Linked DNA regions of Drosophila melanogaster. The gene in region 1 interacts genetically with each later gene. Each region holds a gene or a part of one and is shown in the gene's direction. Other genes may lie near its edges.

The links. A genetic interaction does not mean that the proteins touch.
Region 2: of Strip (region 1) and spri, changing one enhances a phenotype caused by changing the other (phenotypic enhancement), as found in Drosophila melanogaster (one study listed by BioGRID).
Region 3: of Strip (region 1) and Tbcd, changing one enhances a phenotype caused by changing the other (phenotypic enhancement), as found in Drosophila melanogaster (one study listed by BioGRID).

Annotation. Positions count from the first base shown.
Region 1 is NT_037436.4:3,322,839-3,330,779, reverse strand, and holds the start of Strip (striatin interacting protein), read left to right. Parts: upstream 1-1,908; 5' UTR 1,909-1,910; coding exon 1,911-2,081; intron 2,082-2,153; exon of another isoform or gene 2,154-2,337; coding exon of another isoform or gene 2,338-2,529; intron 2,530-2,596; coding exon of another isoform or gene 2,597-2,920; intron 2,921-3,226; coding exon of another isoform or gene 3,227-3,427; exon of another isoform or gene 3,428-3,437; intron 3,438-4,067; coding exon of another isoform or gene 4,068-4,148; exon of another isoform or gene 4,149-4,515; intron 4,516-4,743; exon of another isoform or gene 4,744-5,142; coding exon of another isoform or gene 5,143-5,178; coding exon 5,179-6,080; intron 6,081-6,143; coding exon 6,144-7,854; 3' UTR 7,855-7,870; intron 7,871-7,937; 3' UTR 7,938-7,941. Other genes in the region: CG14961 (uncharacterized protein), read right to left, coding at 1-69, 126-638; Gtpx (glutathione peroxidase homolog with thioredoxin peroxidase activity), read right to left, coding at 2,338-2,529, 2,597-2,920, 3,227-3,427.
Region 2 is NC_004354.4:10,582,413-10,587,192, reverse strand, and holds the start of spri (sprint), read left to right. Parts: upstream 1-1,770; 5' UTR 1,771-2,283; intron 2,284-4,780. UniProt on the Drosophila melanogaster protein: Potential Ras effector protein. May function as a guanine nucleotide exchange (GEF), by exchanging bound GDP for free GTP.
Region 3 is NT_033779.5:2,145,553-2,152,174, forward strand, and holds Tbcd (Tubulin-binding cofactor D), read left to right. Parts: upstream 1-1,965; 5' UTR 1,966-2,094; coding exon 2,095-3,037; intron 3,038-3,094; coding exon 3,095-4,228; intron 4,229-4,289; coding exon 4,290-4,709; intron 4,710-4,776; coding exon 4,777-5,243; intron 5,244-5,295; coding exon 5,296-5,901; 3' UTR 5,902-6,112; downstream 6,113-6,622. Other genes in the region: CG11723 (uncharacterized protein), read right to left, coding at 348-1,261, 1,334-1,472; AIF (apoptosis inducing factor), read left to right, coding at 6,483-6,594.

The DNA of each region.
Region 1 (7,941 bases):
CGAGGACGAACTTATTCCGGAGCTGGTTTGAGTATAGCGCTGCGGGGACGGATTCGATGACTCGTAGACCTGGAAGGTAAGGTAGTTAACTTGCTGGCTCAACATGTTACTTTCTTTCCATTTACCGTCTCCACGGTGGGACCATGGCTGTGGTAGGACTGGATGTACCGCTCGAACTCCTGGTTCTGGCGGAGCTGCTGGTTGCGCTGTCGAAACTGGCCACTATGAGGACTCGGCGGCTGCTGGTGGATGGAGGGGCGTCGGCTGTGATTCCGGCGACGGGGCAGTCGTCCGTTCTTGGACATAGGTGACTGACCCTGAGCTGGCGGCTGCAATCCCAATCCCTGGCGAGGAGACAGCTGCTGGGGCTGCTGTTGCTGCTGGGTTTGAGACACCTGTTGCTGCTGTTGTTGCTGGGACTGGGATAGCACCTGCTGCTGTCGCTCCTGGATGCGTTGAAACTGCTGATCCTCATCCCTCTGAGGACCCGCCCTCAGCTCGGCCGGAGCCATACCATCGACGTACTTCACATCCGCCGGATTTGTGGCCGGTTGCTGTGCAATCGAGATGTTGACATGGGTGGCCGCATCCACCTGGCTGCAGGCCACCAGCAGGAGCACCAGCACTCCTCGGAACATCCTGTTCTAATCCTGTTACCAATCCGAAGTCAAAAATCCTAGCTGTGTGTCCAATCACTGCTGACCACCACCAAAGCTGACCGCTGTCTGATCGATAGTGGAGTGTGCTCCGCATATTTATACGGATTTTGGGTGGATTCGGAATCAAAATTGGGGGAGCGATCGCATTCGCAATCGCGATCGCGATCAGTGTCAAAGTCAACTGCAGCACTGGGAATAGCAATGCATACACACTATGGCGACAATAGCTTCGATAGCTTCGCTACTGACCTGGGCCAAACTGTTTAGGGATGAGTCTCAGATGCTTAACCTAGTTCTACAATTAAAGGCATTCGAGCGATCGCATTTGAGCGATGATGCATTCAACAAATTGCTGTCATCGCTTCACACTTGTGTGGCACGCACCAGCACTGAGAGAAAAGGGGCCTAAGTTCGTTCATATATCACAGATATATCATTTAATATGCGATTTTATTAAAATAATTTCTTGGGAAAATTTGGGAAAAGTTCTTTCGGGTAAAAGAAGCTAATCCAATAGAGATCTTTAATTTCGCTCCAGCTCATCAGTTTGGTTTTTCTCCGCCTGATCTCCACTGCGAATTTCGATGGCATCCGTAAATGGTGAGTGCAGCATTTTCATGTAATTGTCGGAAGGTCGGAGTCGCCGCTCCATTGGCAGCTGGTTTGAACTTGAAATCCGGCCGAGACGTTGAACTGCTCCACTGGAGGAGGAGCAGCTCGAGATCGGCGCCCCAATGGGCTGACGGATTCGCATTTGTTGGTTTTGGGGGTGCTGGTCAGGCAAACTTGCGCAATCGAAGTTTGGCGAGCATTTGGCGAACACTCGGAGCACTCGAATTCGGAAAGAAGGTAAAGGTTAATGTGAAGTACTTTTGCTTCTTTCTGCACTTAAAGTAACCACCAATAAGGTCAAATTGGTAAGGGGGAATATTTTAAAACAGATATTGCCTACTCACAGAAAAAGTAACTTTTCTTTCAAAAATATCTAAAGGATATTAAAGCAAACTTGTTTTGAATATCATTATAGAGAAAGGCAAATATGGGTTTTAAAATCTAAAACTCAGACTAATTGATCAAGGTCCTTTCAAAGATTAATTAGTTTTAAAACAATGCGAGCTTTCGTGGTCATTAAGTTGAACAAGTTTTCAAAAATTGTGCTCTACCGTTGAAAACATCATACCTTTCTTTTGTGAATTTCGTTTTTCCCTTAATATGACATCTCCAAATTTCACAGTCACCTAACAAATATATATGGCTTGGAAACAGAAAAATAAACTCCTTTTTGACACTTGTAAAAACCAGTTAAGCTGTGGCGCCGTAAACGCCAGATCCTCGATGATGCAGTCCATCCAGTCTAGGATCAACGTGCTTAACACCATTGCTGCTTCCAGCAAGCGGATTGAACGCGCCAGCGTTGACACGGTAAGTCCGAATTGATACAGTTCCAACTACCGATCAAAGTACGTGCCCGGCGTCGCCAAACACCCAGGTGATAGTGTGGTAACCACGAATGGCGTTTATTATGTTTGCGGGTGGGAATCAAAACCAGTAAGGAGTAGACAATATATATACCATGCGGTGCATGTGGCCGGCCACAAGACTATCTGTGGCCAGACGGTTACAAGCTAAAGCTACGCGAAAACACAGTCCAAAAGAGCAGCTAACGTCTAGGGCACATCTACAGCAGCTTTTCAATGTCCTTGGCGATGTCCATGGGATCGGTGGTCGGGGCATATCGGTTGATGGGCACGCCCTCCTTGTTCACCAGAAACTTGGTGAAGTTCCACTTGATTCCGCTGCCCAGGGTGCCGGTCTGCTTGGCCTTTAGGTATTTGTACAGCGGCGCCGCATTGTCTCCATTCACATCGACCTGCGGGGGTGGGGCAAGTTTAGTGACTCGGTCTACAGCAATCGGCTAGCAGCTTTAATAGTCTTACCTTGGCGAACACCTCGCCGATGTCAGCCTTGGAGTCGCGCAGGTGGCACACCATGGCCTCTCCATCGGCCTCCGGCATCTGGGACCCAAACTGATTGCACGGGAAGTTGAGGATCACCAGGCCGCGCTCGCCGTACTTCTCCTTTAGATCCGTCAGCTTCTCGTAGTTGTTCTTGGTCAGGCCGCACTTGGAGGCGATGTTCACCACCAGGACCACCTTGCCCTTGTACTTTTCCAGGGAAACATCGTTGCCATGGGTATCCTTCACGGTGAACTCGTAGATCGAGGCGGCGTTCTTGTAATCTCCGTTAGCAGACATGTCGATCTGGAAGCAATAGAAAGTGGGAGTTAGAATTGGGTAATTACTAGTGGCTGTGAAGGCTTGGGTCGATGTTTTGATCAAGAGATATAGATATTTATAGCCTTATCTTCAATCGGGGTATGAAACACTATATTCTGTATCAAAATCGACCCAGGCTACGCGGTTCATTGCAGTGAACAGGCAACAGAGAACAGAGAACAGAGAACACAGGCAGTGGCAAAGGCTACAACGTTTAGTTAGGCGCAGAATCAAGCAACTGAGTTAGTCAACGGGTTAGGATCTAGTCAACTAGCAATCAGCACTACTCACGGCAGCTGCTGTGGAGTGCTGGGCGGCTGAGGAGATGGCGTTCATGGGCGTGGCCGCACAGCTCACGGGAAGCATGATGGTGCAGAGGCGAAGGCACTGCCTCTGACCGCGACTCAGCTCGAGGACGGGGCCAGGGGTCCGCCTCATCGAGTAGCACCTGAGGGCCTGGCGGGAAATGTTCTGAAACTGCCTGAGACTCATTCTTTAAATGCTGCAAATAATAACCGGGCAGAATGTTCAAATTTAGTGAAAGCTTAGGCAAGTGAAGGAATTACTGGTGTGGATGTGTACGTTGTGTATCAGATCGAACAACAATCGTTTCAAAACAATTCAAATGGGAAAATATAAAAATCAAGTCCACATTTCTACTGATTAACGAAATAGTTAAGTAGATAAGAGCAAGTAGTAAGTAAAGTAGTAAGATAGCTCAAAGCTATCTTATTTCCGAATAAGAAAGTGTGGAAATGTATGTGGTGTATAGATTGTATTCGACAACCCGACGACAAACATCCAAGATTATTTCACGTTTTGATAATGGGTTTCCTAATAGTTGTATGTTGTTTCATAGACATTTACGAGGGTGCTATCAGGCTTCTGGTTACAGTGACGCTGCATAATTCATCGGGGTCAAAGTCAAGAGCTATATGTACATATATGTATATCCCAGCACCCTGTGAGTCACGCAACCTAGTGGCTACGCACAGTGACCTTTAAGCTGGCCAGGATTGGCCCACGTAACCCACGACGCTGCCTCGTTACCGTCGCTGATTGCACATGCATGCCATTGTTCGAGTTGATTGGACAGCAATTTGAAGGGATAGTTAGTGTTGTGGGTAATTACTTGCATGGTGAAGTAGATGTACGATCCCAGGGCGATTGCCACGGACCCCAGAAAAAAGTGGACGATGGAGCGGCCAGCCATTACTGAGCTATATATCGACTATGTGTACGATTTCACAACGATCTGCTGCGAGTTTCGGATGCAGGGATACAAATATAGAATGCGAATGCCGAGATTCTGCAAGCTCACGCTGATATGGGCGAAAATCGGGAGCAAAGTTCAGATTCGATTCGACTGTTTTCCCTGCTCTATATACATATATTCTTGTCACCTCGACCAGCTGTGTTTTTGGGCTGATTATGCTGTGCTTAATCTCGACAGCTGGGTATTATTGTTTGGGCTTACTTATGGCGTAATAGCAATGACTAATGGAACTGGGCACTTTCTCACTTTCGAAGCGTAAATAAAACTGAAACCGGCGACTTGCAAAAACCCTTATTTATATGTGTAGGTGAAAGCACTTGTAATGTTCTGGTCTGGTCACACTAGGAGCACAACTTTTCCAGAGTTGCCAAGTGTGGTGGTTAAGCCCTACTTTCTAAATTTAAGCATGAAAGTAAAAGCCTTTAATTAGAGCTTCAAATTGTATATATCATTACTATTGATTATCATTTTGTAAACACAAAATATCAAAATGAAACAATCCCTATTCCTAATATTAGTACAAATCAAACAGAACCCTTATTTCAAATTTAAAGCAGCGGCAATTGCATCAGTCGCTGCCACATCCGATCGAACGGCCTTGCCAGACGGCCAACACCATTTGCTGTTTGGTATTTTCCGACCACACAGCAAACGGTCGTACGAATTTTCTTCTTTTTCCATTGTGCGTTTTTGTTTTTGGCGAGAAACAAATTGCAGTCGAAATTACCCAGTGAAATGCAGTGCGAATTGCTTAGTACGTCCATGTGCTACTAAGACCAAGTGGGAGAGAAAACCAGCGAGCAGGAGCAACCACGCCCACGCCAGGCGCACCGCCCACCGCCGCAGGATACACATACACGAGTAGCCCACACTCACGCACATACACTTCCACACAAAAGAGATCCCTGTGTGGCGAAAAAGGATTGGCGGAATGATGCTCACATCCATAAACAACTCCTTTGAGCAGGACACCCACGATGCGGACGCCAACTGCGACGGGCCCGACCTGGACTTCGTGTACGCGGACGTGGATGGCTATCAGAACGAGATCGCTGAACTGTATAGCTACACGGAGTTCAGCGAGTTTCAGATGAACGTGAAGGCCTTCGAGGACCAGATGGAGCTGTACGACCTGCCGCCCAACTGGCAGAAGCAGGACTCCGCCTCCCAGCGCGGCATCGTGATGAAGCTGGTGGACCAGCTGGAGGTCTCCGATCGATCCTTTCGCATGCAGGCCGCCCGGTGCATCCTTTACCTGGCCCAAGGCTGCTGGGCGGAGGTTCAGTCGGACGAGGAGCAGCACCAGATCACCAGGGACAATGTGCTGGTGCTCTACCAACTCGGCGTCTTCGCCTCCTTCATCGACCTGCTCAACATGGAGATCGAAAGCGCCTGCTCTCCGGACATTGTGGCCGTCAAGATCACTAACGTCACGCTTGTGGACTCCACGGACATTCGGGTGATCCTATCTGTGCTCTACATCATCACAGAAACGATTCGCGATGAAAAGGAAAAGGGCAGCGAAGACTACAGAGAGCTGGCCGACTCCTTTGTGCAAGAAATCAACTCACCACTACCAGATGGCGAACTTCTGGCCGTCAAGCTGTTGGGCATGATCACACGGTTTTGCAGTGGCGCAGCACCGCAGTTCCCCATGAAGAAGGTTGTCCTCCTGCTGTGGAAAGTTTCGCTGCTGGGACTGGGAGGCATGGATGTGCTCAAGAATCTCAAGAACGAGTATCGATTGAAGGTGGGTTTGGAACCCATCACCGAGGACACGCTGGAGGTTACCAAGTGCATGCGAGCCAGCTCACCGCCGGCCACAGCTACTGATATACTGGAGAACCAGTATCCCAAGCGGAACTTCAAGTAAGCGGAGTCTTAGATCACTTATGTACACTTTTCAATACATTCATTTTCCTTGCCGCACAGACGCTCCCTGATGAAGCAGCGTTTTTTGGACGAGCCCGAGCAGATAGACATGGAGATGGGCGGCAACGAGGGTCAAAATAATGCCAACAATGGCAGCGGCAATGGCGGAAACGGGGAGGAAGAACTCTCTCAGTACTACCGACCCTACGATGACCCCTCTTCGTCGGCATCCACCACCTCGACGGCAAATCCAAACAACCAGCCTAGCCTAACACAGCCACCCGCTGCTGTGCCTCCGGTACAGATCACGGCTCGCCTGCCCTGGACGCCTAAGGTGCGACAAAAGGACATTGACCAGTTTCTGGACATTTCGCGGAATAAGTTCATCGGGTATTCACTGATTGGTGACCACGAGAGTCTGGCTGGACTGCCGCAACCCATTCACGAGGGCTTTAAGACGCTGCAGCGGCACATGTATATGAGCCTGGCCGATGTGCAAATTAAGAAGGAGGAGGACATAGCTAGGAACCCCATTTCCACGCACGAGGACGAAATCAAACTGACCCCGGCTGAGGTGTTGTACCAAGCCATCCTGCCAAACCTGCCGCAGTATATGATCGCCCTTCTCAAGGTCCTGCTGGCAGCTTCGCCAACGTCCAAGTCCAAGACGGAGAGCATCAACATAATGGCCGATGTGCTGCCTAGGAAGATGCCGCTGACGGCCACCCAATCAACAAAGCTAACCGTCGACATTGGTCGGCACAAGGAGATCATTGTGAAGGCTGTCTCGGCCATCATCCTGCTATATTTAAAGCATTTCAAGATAAACCATGTTTACCAGTTTGAGTTCATGTCGCAGCATCTCGTGTTCGCCAACTGCATCCCGCTGGTTTTGAAGTTCTTCAATCAGACAATCACGGAGTACGTGAACACCAAGAACTCCATTCCTCTGCTCGATTTCCCGTCGTGTGTGATTGGTGAGCAACCGGATTTGAGTGGCGATAGCTTTGTGTATGGCGGAGAGATGTCCGATAAGTCCTACTCTTGGCGGAACGTGTTCTCCTGCATAAACCTGCTGCGCATCCTCAACAAGCTGATCAAGTGGAAGCACTCGCGAGTGATGATGCTGGTGGTATTCAAGTCGGCACCAATCCTGAAGAAGACGCTTAAGGTGCGCCACGCCATGATGCAGCTGTACGTGCTGAAGCTGCTCAAGATGCAGACCAAGTACTTGGGCCGCCAGTGGCGGAAGTCCAATATGAAGACCATGAGTGCAATTTACGCCAAGGTGCGGCATCGTCTAAACGACGATTGGGCCTTTGGCAACGACTTGGAGTCGCGTCCCTGGGACTTCCAGGCGGAGGAGTGTACGCTGCGGGCCTGCGTGGATCGATTCAACCTGCGACGCTATCCGGAAGCCACCCAGAAGTGTGGAAACAACGGCACGGCAGCTCAGAATGCGGAGAACGCCCAGCAATCCAACATGATGGCGGGCAACAATGGATGTGGCAATAATGGCGACGCAAATGGCTATGGAAACAACGGTGGCGGTGGCAATGGCGGCCACAACCAGCAGCAGCAGCTCAACGACTATGGTGTGGAGGGTGGCTTTCCCAGCGACGAGATCCTTACCCACTCGGACTTTGCCTTCTTCGGTCACTCGGGTTGGTGGGATCGCAAGGTCGAGCTGACGGATTACTTCAAGGCCAATTACGCGGTCTGGCTGGAGGAGGAGGTCTACAACAGTCAGACCGACTGGGACGCCCTCTAGGGCAGGGCTGCCATCGGTGAGCAACTGCATACCGCATGTGCCCCGTCACACTTTTATTTACGTGATTCCTTTTTGAATTACAGCTGC
Region 2 (4,780 bases), on another chromosome or scaffold:
GGAATAATAACTATCAGAGGGTAATGTGACTTCGAGACCAGCCCTTTTCTTCGGTTTCTTGCTGAATTGTGCACGGCAAAAACAATTACAATTTCGCAAACAAAGATAATTTGCGAATGAGATCGACGACACGACACAATGGCACTTTACAACAACAAGAAGAACAACACGACAAATGGGGCGGGTATGGGGGTCTGTCAAGAAAACCTGAATTTCGAAATGGAAGGGCTAAAAAAAAGGTGAAAAATCAGAAATCAGAAGCTTCTTTCCAATTCCAGAAGTCAAAACGCTAATCGGTAATCGACAATTGCTTATCGGTCATCGACAGTTTTCGCGTTTTCAAATTGTTTGTGGCTGGCAATACAAGGTGAATTGTAAAAAAAAAAAATTAATAAGTGCGAGCAAAAAATGCGATCACATAGCAAACAAAGCTGCAAATCAAGCGAAACAAACACGTCGCCCTCTTAACAAGATATAACCGGGTTAAGCACAATAATATATCTTTTAATATAAATACTTATTCATATACGATAGTAAAACTGATAAAAGATAATTTTCAAGAGAATCTGTTAAGATTGTGAACCAAAGTCTGTGCATTCAATTTCCAGCTAAAACCAAACAACGAAAGACAAAAAGAACAGATTGCTAATTAAAATTTATGGGTGTCATAATTTTCCGACAATTAAAAGTCTCATTTTACAGCAAGAAATATTGATTTGGTCAGCAGTACCATGTGAAAAAATATTACTGATATATTGCAAAACAACCATTTTAGATTTCCATGTGCCATAGCTTTGGCTTTCAGCTATAACTTGTTTTAAACAATATAAGCTTATTTTGCATTACACGTTTAATTAAATTGGGACAGCATAAATTTTTGATAATTACAAGCACCTTTTCCAAAATCGAAAGTAAATCAGCACCTGCCGTTTAATAATTCACTTTGGTGAGCAATATTTATTTTTTGCCAACTCCGCGCTTTTTTAAAGAAAATTTTGTAACCGTAAAACACCAATATAACAATCCATTGCATTCATAGTAATTTCCATTTTAAAACATTGTTAATTTACGGAAAGAATAGTTTAGGAAACTTTTAATACAGTAAGTTGACTTAGTAGCAGAAGAATAAACTTTAATATTAAATATTTCTTTAACAAAGTTAAAAACTTTGCTATCTTCCTTACAACCTATGTTAACCACAGTGACAACAATGATCTATGAGTAAGCGTAAAGTTTGCTTAATACATTATATTATAGTTTTGATATTATACTTTCATAAATTAGTATGGTTGGGTAAATGGTTGTAATTAATATATTGAAAAATGTAAGATCTTATGACTGACATGTGACCACAATAGAGTTAAGTTTAAGTTCTTTTTTAATATAGTTTAACTATTAAGCTATTACTCCATGGTTTCATATATCTTGTGGAGTAAAGTGCTGTTAACATGTTCTGTAAACATATGATACAACTTTCCTTAACTCTTCGACCATTGTGCTGTTAAGTTAAAAATACCTCTTAATATACTTTTATTATTGATAAATAGTTTAGATTCATATACATATCTTGTGGCGCAAAGAACTTTTAACATTATCCATCAACTGAATGGAGAGTTTTCAGTAGGAGTGTGACCACTGTGCGCCATCGTTTCGCATCTCGTAATTTTGCTTGTGTTGTTGCTGTTGTTGTTGCTGCTGCTATTATCGCAGCGAGTTGTTGCTGCCGGCGACGATCTTCGTTTTGTCGGCGGCTTCAGTTCAGTTCAGTTTAGTTCGAGTTCGCACTCGGCCACAAACGGTCGGTCGGTCGGTCGGTTGTTCGTTCGTTCGTTCGCTGAAGGAGAATTGTGGAGAAGAAATTGAACCCGTAATCTTCGGAATCCGTAAAGCCGTAGTCCCGTAGTCGTAAGGCGATCGCGAGAATTGAAATTGTGCTGCAACTCAAGTAAAATAATATTGTGTCGCACAAGATCACTGCGTGTCGCGCTCAATTAAATACACATCTTTTTTTTTATATTTTTCCCCCGGTCTTTATTTATTTTTTTTTGTTTAATTTTTTTTATTTGCGCTACAACGTTGTTATTTATATTTAATTGTTTTGTAACAACAACAACAACAGCAGCCGAGTTAAGTGCGAAAAGTGAAGTGAAGTTTGTCGGCGAGTGAGTGCGAGTGCGCACAAAAATTGGAGCAGGTTCCAGAGATCTTGAGATCTTCAGAACTAGAGATTCCCAGTTCCTAGGCTCCCGGGTTGCGACTTTTGGCGGCATTGGCGTTCCCCTGGTAATTTAATTGAAAGTGATGATCGTAGCCCATCCATAAAGCCACTTACCGGTAGTTCCCCCATCCTTTCACAAGTTCAAGTTCACCGACCACGCGGACTCCTTTTTTCGCTCTTCCACCCGCTCTCTCTTCTCACTCTATCTCTCTTGATCGCTTGCCCTTCTTTCACTCGAAGAAAATACAGTGCACACTCGAGATGGTGAATTTGGATTGGCCATTAATTGCTCCCAGTTTGGGTTATCATACTAAATCTTTGTACAATATCTTTGGAAAAAGATTAAAACCTAACTTTAAATAAATAGTAATAATTACTGCTGTACAACTATTCTTTTTTTTTTCTGAGTGAAAAGCTCTTTTGTCTTTCTCGCCAAAAGTGCGTTGGATTTCTTTACATTGTGCCTGGTTCTCTTCGGTTTACACACTCGGTACATTGCACCCTTGGTCCCTGTTTCCTTTAGTGTCGTCTTTCGCTTTCAATGCATTTTGACAGTGGATTGCTAATCGGCCAGGTATTCGCAGGCCACCTTATAGCACCTACCATATATACCCATCGTACATCTACATACCATTCATACATACAATCGCATTCGCATTCGTATATTCGCATTCGCATTCCTGTCGCCGTTGTCATTTCCTCACCTCATCGGGCACCGCCCTCTTGCTTTCACGCACCTGATGATAAACGGCTCAAATTTTGATAATGTGTACGGATTGTGCTGCAAATTGCTCAAATGGCTAATCAGCTGTTGCTAGCACATATGTATAACCCCCTATACTCCATATCTTTCCAATGAAATCGGCGGGAAATTGGCTTTGTCTCGAGTCTTATCGCATGCCAAAAAAAAAAAACGAAAAATCAAAAGGCAAAAACCCAAAACTTAAGTCTGAGCTCCAAGTCTAAACCAAAACCGCAACATCATCTCAATATTTCCTTAACCACAAGTGCACAGAGCAAACAAGGTCTACTATTACTATTGACTAATTAGGCATTCTTAAGATATAAAAATATATAAATAGAGCAAAATGGTATAACAATTATAATCTATATTATCTAACATAATATCCAAAACCGTGGTGTGCGTGAAACGTGCCCTAATTTTCGCTCTGTGTGCGTGCATCAGCGGATTGCTGATAAGTGGAGAATGTTTATTGTCATTACCTGTGTCCCACTACCTGTACATTCCCCTACCCTGCGGTACTACCCCTCCGGTCGATATGGTATTCCTCATGCAATTTGCGGTTGTCACAGCTATTAGGTTTAGATAGTCCACTGTAGCGGTCTTATCAATGGGTTGCTTTCGCTGGTCAGTCAGTCAGCCAGGTATCTCTGTACGTACGTATGTTTGCCATGCCAGTATTATGATAGCGATCGTCAGTGGTTTACTTCGCTAATGATCCTCGTCGCTCAGCATGGGAACATCGCATCTGTATATGCCCACTAATCCCACTCGTATATTTTGGCTTTTTTGGCTTATCGCGATGGTCATTTAAATACACGTAGGAATCGTTGCGATCCCATCATATACATACAAACGTATGTGCCCAGATATTTTTGGGATACCATTTCCTTTCTTCGGGCTCTTTCCAGTTAATATCTTTTTAGTAGTTCTTAGAATTAATTTATCATATCATATCACTCACTGAACTAACTAATTTGTCCACTTAATGGATACAACTCATGATTATCAAGTGATCTCTGTGAATACCAATTCATTGACTGATAGATGATCACACTCAAATAAAATCGCTATAATTTCCGATGATTATTGACTATGCTTATAAGTCCTTAGCCCTACTGAATGATCTCAGCTAAATTCCCCACCAAACTTTTCTCACCCACACACGAAATGCCGCAATGTCGAGTTAAAATTATTCGATGGCAAGAAAAAAAAAACAGAGATTAAATAACAAAATACCAAAAAAAAAAAAAATTGCCAAAAAAGTCAGCTTTGACTAATGCGCTGCATTGGCGGTGCGATCATTTTTTGGCGATCACTTTTTAGCACCAGTTGAGCTACCATGTGGGCGCAGCGGCAGCCAAAATAGTTGGCCAAGAGTCTCGAGGTCTGAAAGTCGCACTCTTGTTTTTGTTTCGACTTTGTTTTGCTTTCGGCTATCAACAGCTAACCGCTGCGCCCAACTGTTCCAATAGAAAGCCAGTTAACAGCGATACGCTCCGGTTTTCTGTCTTCTCTCTGTTTTTATTATTGGGAAGGGAGATCGAGATCGTTGGATGGGAATCGATCAGTTGATTCGCGGTTCGTAAGTGTCTAAATATAGATTTCGACCATATTTGCTGGCAAATATTGGCCATGAGTGTGCGGCGGGCTGAACCTGCCTCAATTCAAGTGGCACAGTATCTGTATCTGGGCTCCTATATCTTTATACATATCTTTGTACATATATATGAGTATTTGCGAGTGAGTGCACGTGTTTTTGTGGCAGACGGCAGATCGGGCAACATGTCACCCCACGCGACATGCCACATACTACATAC
Region 3 (6,622 bases), on another chromosome or scaffold:
TCAAATCCATTAAAATTCCTTCCAGATGACATCCCAATGATAAGCTAAACCTTAAAATTTAATCAGCATCAGCTGTTATTTTGTTTGTATATTCCATTTCGTGTAAATTGCTTTAAAACAGCCCGCGAATGGCATACCCGGAGTCAAAATGGTTAAATTATTGGACAATACAAATCAATATTTTACAAGCAATTCAGCGTGTGGATAATGGTCTTATGATAGGCATTTTGCCAAACAACTACTCATGTATGAGTAGGGTTTCATCTAAGACTTGTAACAATATGAAAGGAATACTCCTTAGAGAATTATTGGTGAATGTAAAATCGTAAAAATTTGGTATGAAGTCTTCATAGCAGAGGCTCATTCTCTATCTTGACATCGCACTCAACCATGGAGCTGTCGACATAGTCAAACGAAGTTGGTGTTTTTCGGCTACTGATTTGGTAGCTGGAATTGGATAGATGGTACTGGGATTTCTCCAGCTGAGTGGCAAAACTGGAATTCGGGGCTGGTGTTAGTTTGGGCATGCTGCGCTCTAGAACGTCTTCGGGTCCCGCCGCCGCGAGCATGTGCTGATCCTCCTCCCTGAGTTCCACCAGAACGCGCGCCATCTCCATTCGAAACTTAAGATTGCTAATGGCTGACAGAGACTTTACGTGCGGCATCATGCTCATCAAGAAACTCAAGTCCGAATCGTTCTTTAGATCGGGTTCAGTGGTAGACTTTGACGCCTGGCTGGCGTATCCATTCAATAAGGGGACATCGTTAGACGGCGAAGTTTTCCTCCGACGTCCTCTCTTCGAAGGCGGGGGTGGACGTGGCAGGAATTGTTGGTGGCGCGGCAAGTGTATGGGCAATGTGGGCGATAGATCCTGATCGGAACGATGGGCGCCCGAGGATGAAGAATCCAAAGGCTTGATCAGCGAGCCTTTATCCGAGCCAGAGTCCTGGGGCACTGACGGCTCCCGCTTAAATATGTCCTCGATGATTTCAAAGTCAACAGAGTCATCATTGTCCAAATCCAAATCGATAGCGAAGTCAACCAGTCGGGTGGGCTCGAAGACTTCCGGCTGCTCGGTGTTCATCACGAAGGGCTCTGGTGGAAAGGGCACCAGGCCCTCCGGATCGAAGATTTGGCGCATGAACTCCAGTGAGCGAAAGTATGGCCAGTGGGACATCTCGATTCGTTTCTGCTGTATCTTGCGCACCTCTGCCCGGTAGCTGTCCCGCATTCCCTTGAAACGTTTCTTGCAGATCGAGACTGCAAAATGACCAGGTGTTATTTATAGGTTTCCTAGGCATATAAAACCCTCCTCGTTTATCCGCCACTCACCATCCTGCTGCATTATCTGCGCGACACTCGCCCACTGGAGAGCTGCGTCCTGGTTGCGGTACGAAATGGACATGTTTGTGTCCCACAGGCACCGCCGCTTGGACACCTCCTGTATGAGACGGTAGTTATCTGATTTCATGGCGCAGTGGACCAGAAATTGCGGTTTGTCCACAAATGCAATGCTCCGAAACTTGCGGATCCCGAATTTTCAACGCAATTTTCACAGCAATGACCGCGCTCACAGCAAACTCGACGAATGTGTGAGCGGTTTCGACCCGACGGTAACACTTTTAATATCCCAAATTCGGGCTTGCTTTGCTGCGTTTTGGTGGAATATACAAAATCTTGCTCTTGCTAAATCTCGCAGTTTCGCTTGCCACTACAAATAAATGATTAATTGCGCCTGGCAGCTCTGGTCGAACAGCTGCTTAACGGTATTACCAGGTGCATGCAAAACGGCCACACCAAAGGCACTATGACACTAGATGAACTTATTTAGTAGGATTTATTACAAACGTTTAAAGAGCACAATGTACAATAACTGCATTTGATTCCAAAAAAAAATGTTAGTTTAAAGATAAAGAATTAGATAAAGACCCTTTTGGTCGAAAAACAGTAAGAAAGAGACGAGTCAGTTCGTGGTGTCATACCAGCATACTTTCATTGGGGTTGCAACCCTGGCAGTAAAACAAATGATTCACAAACGAATTGATTTTGTTGCCGGCTGTGGGTTTAAAACTCGATAAAATCGTCAAGCAGCCATGTCGAATTCTGTGGAAGAGTGCAAGGATGAGGACCTGCCGGCAAACACGCTGGAGCACTTCACCGAACTGCAGCAGGTGCTGGAGATGATCGACAACATCAAATCCATTGCCGCTAACACCTTCGAAAGGGAGTTCGAGCAGTACGCCCAGGTTTTGTCTAGATATCAGGAGCAGCCACACCTCTTGGATCCACATTTGGAGGAGTTACTCGGCAAACTGCTCCACAAGATTCGGAAGCCAGATCTAGACACTGGAGAGCTTCATGCAGCCTTCAAGTATCTCTACATCATCTGCAAAGTGCGCACCTATAAGGTCCTGGTAAAGTTTATGCCACACGAACTGAGCGATCTGGAGTTTGTTCTGGATTTGCTGGGTCAGCAAAATCCCAAGGAGTTCGAACAGTGGGAAACGCGCTATATACTGCTCCTGTGGATGTCTATCCTGGTCCTAAATCCCTTTCACATGTCGAGACTAGATGCCTATGACACCTCCACATCTGCTCCCACCACCAATTGCAGTCCCGTGAACCATGTTCAGTCGAAGAACACCAAGATGGATCGCATCTTCGAGCTCATCCAGCTTTATGTGTCCTCCAACGACACATGCAGCAGCATGGCTGCTTTCCTGGCCGCCAAGTATTTCATTCGCAGTGACATCAAGGATCTATATCTGGAGCGCTTCCTGGACTGGATTATGGAGCAGCACCAAGCGGACACGTTGAACGTCAAGTTCGGCCAACTGGCTGCAGTGGCTGCTATTTTAAAGCACGGAAAGCGAGAAGATCTTCTGCCCTATGCGGACAAACTTCTTCAGTGGATCACTTCCTGTCAGTACAAGGATGACAACGACTTTCTCAAGTACAAGAACTATGTAAAAATCATCCAGAGAATTGGATTGGTTCATTTGAAGCCACGCATTGCCAGCTGGCGGTATAAAAGAGGTAAGCCTGGGGTTTGTTATTCACGCATGAAACCATAATAAACTAGTGTTTTCTTAGGCACTCGTTCACTGGCCACCAATCTAAACCAGACAACTGCGGCAGGAGGTGAACCAGTTGTTTTGGAGCAATCCCTGGAGGAAGGCGAGGAAATAGTGGTCCCCGATGCCATAGAAGAGGTGATTGAGGAGCTGCTCCAGGCACTGCGAAGCGGAGGAAACGATATACGCTGGAGCGCCGCCAAAGGATTAGGCAGAGTCACCAATCGCCTTCCCAAGGAGCTGGCCGATGAGGTTATAGGGTCTGTGATTGATATACTCAACCCGCTGGAACCCCACGAGGCCTGGCATGGTGCATGCCTGGCTTTGGCAGAACTGGCAAAAAGGGGATTGCTGCTGCCACATCGATTGGAGGAGCTAGTACCCCTCCTTATGCAGGCGCTCTTCTACGACGAGATGAAGGGCTACATGTCGGTGGGGCAACACATCCGAGATTCAGCCTGCTACATGTGCTGGGCATTTGCCAGGGCTTACAATCCGGATGATGTGAAGCCATTTGTGCACAAAATCTCATCTGGCCTGCTGACCGTTGCAGTGTTCGACCGCGAGGTGAACTGCAGGCGGGCTGCCTCGGCAGCTTTTCAGGAAAGTGTGGGACGCCTGGGCAACTTTCCCTTCGGAATCGAAATCTCCACCACGACGGACTTCTATTCCGTGGGCATCAGGCAGAATTCCTATCTAAACATCAGTGACTACATTGCACAGTTTGAGGTGTACAGGGAACCATTGATTAACCATCTAGTTCAGCATAAGGTAAGCCATTGGGATTCGGCTATAAGGGAGCTGACAGCCAAAGCCCTGCACAAACTATCCCTTTGGGAGCCCGAGTACATGGCCGCTGTGGTGCTGCCGCAACTGCTGGCAAAAACTGACACCATCGATATTAACTGCCGGCATGGTTGTGTCTTAGCCATGGGAGAAATAACACTGACCCTACGGAAACTAGAGGAAAAGAGTGATCCCCAAGTGGTTTACCTCTCCAACCAACGGGTTGCGGAGCTGAATGAACTAATAATAACGTTCCTAGACAAAAATTTCTATCGCGGAATGAGCGGCGACCTGATGAAATCTTGCACCAGCAGCTACATAAAGAACTGCAGTCTGGCCAAGTTGCAGGCTACGCCGGAGTGCTTGGGTAGGAAAAGAGTCCCTAAAGTATAACAAGCATATTATTTAATTGCGTTTATTCGTTTCAGTTTCCTGGCAGAAAGTCATCGATTCCTGTTTGATCACCAAATCAAACGCTATTCGGGATGGTGCGGTGGAAGCGTTCGGTGAACTCTGTACCACTTATTACTGCTCAGATTCCAGGCACGGGGAAAACGAAGCCATAATCAACACTTATCTAACAGGTGCAGATAACGATTTGGAGGAGCACATTCGCATGGGCTACATTGCTGCTCTGGGTGTGCTCCCATCCTTTATGATCCGCTGTCATCTGCAGGCTATATTGGACAGTCTGGTGAAGCACTCCCTAACTCCACTGCAAGCAGTTCTGGTGGGTGAAATGGGTGACCGCGAGAACATCCAGGCATACAGGTGGAGCGAGGCACGGACACAGAGCGTGCTGGCCTTGACCAAGTTGGTGAAGACCGTGGGATATGGAGGGGGAATTGGTGAGTCAATGATCTTAGTTGTGGGCTAAGAATGTGAACAAATCTTAGTATACAATTATTTTTTCAGACTCATTTGCTGAGCCGAAAAACTTTAACAAGGTTATCGAATGCCTGTTAAGAGCTCTTCAAGAGTACACCCTGGACAACCGTGGTGACATCGGAGCGTGGGTGAGGGAGGCGGCTATGTCATCGCTATACGAAATCGTCACTACGTGTCCGCCTGATCTCCTCGCCCCAGAGCAAGTGCATGAGATTGTCGTGGGCTTTATGCAACAGGCGGTGGAGAAGATCGATCGCACTCGTGGATTAGGTGGTCGCCTTTGCTGCCAACTGATCCATCATCAGCCGAGGATCCCCTACATACGGGAGCACTCAAAACTCTTGGAAATATTTCCCGCGGATGCGGATTCCGTACTTTGGTTATTTGCCGATCACACATTCCCGCTGTTCTGCGAGCTGCTCTCTCTGCCGGATTACTCTAAAAGAGTTCTTTTGGGTCTGAGTGCCAGCATTGGTCAACTGACTGAATCTCTTGTAAGTTGTATAGACCACCTCTATATCAATCTCTAAAATATTCTTCCTGCAGATCAAGTATGCCTCCAGTGCCTTATTCCACTTCTTGCGTTCCAATCCTGAGACTGTTCCGCGTCTCTGCTCCGAGGTGGTCCAGATTTTCGAGGAGCATCTACTAAACGAGCGCGTGACCTATCCTCTGCTCAGTTTCCTGGATATACTCATTGGCTCCGGAACTGTAGAATCGGTTCTACACGATGAAGCAAATCCCTTTGCAGAGGATATCTTTAGGCTGCTCAACCTGGAGGTTAAGGGCTACAAGAAGCTGTACAAGACTGCGACCAGCATCAGTGCTTTTTGCCAGTTGCTCCAGGTTCCTCGCCTGTCTAAACGCATCCTCTCCAAGCTCTCAGTATTTCTTGGACTGCAGCACGTCCACGTTCGCAAAACCGCTGCCACAAAATTGTACGAAGCGTTGGCTCTGCACGGCGATGTCACCGAAGTGCCCGAGGAGAATATGGATGAGATCCTAACACTGCTCTCCGAAACGGACTGGACCCAGCCGCTGGTGGAGGTGCGTCCGCTGCGGAACCAGTTGTGCCAACTAATGGACATCAAGCCTCCCGTAAGTGGAGCAGCTGCTGCAGCCGCTTTGCAGCAAGCGAGTGCTGATAAATGAATGTTCCCACATGTATTTAATATATATTAATGCACAATTGTACTGACAACATACATAAGTGGTATTCATAAGAATTTTTATTCTTTATTTTGGAAGCACATCTTTATTTTAACATGTTTTTTAATATTTATCGTTTTCAAAACAAAGAGCTTGTAAGTTCGATTTTAAAATTTCACTTGCTCAAAATAAATTAAATATTGTTCAACATTTCAAAAACCAACGAACACTTTTTGATAAAAAGTGGCTATTTTCAAGCCAAATAATTTCGAATAGGCGCTGGGCCATTTCCCATTTCATTGCGACGGTCACACTGCGACAGAGACAGAAAAAAACAAGACAGGCGAGGGAATGAAAAATAAATATAAATTAAACGCGGACTACCCAAAAGCAAGGAGGGATAAAGGAGTCGAGATCAATTAAACACCGCCGGACTTCACACGGAGAAATTTGTCATAGAAATTGGTTTTTTTGTAAATAAAACACGAACTCGCAAAACACACGTTTCTTTCGCCGCACAACGTTGTTACGTTACACAATTGTGGATTGTGGTGTCACCTACTCCGCAGCCAGTGCAAATCACGATGAGTATTTGGGGGGTCCGATGTCTGACGCAGAGGTTCATCCGGCAGGCGTACATCCTGGCCAACAGAAGGCTATTGGGTCCAGTGCCGCAGCGCTCGCCGCCGGCATACGGTAAGTGAGGTTATGGCCGGCTGGCCAA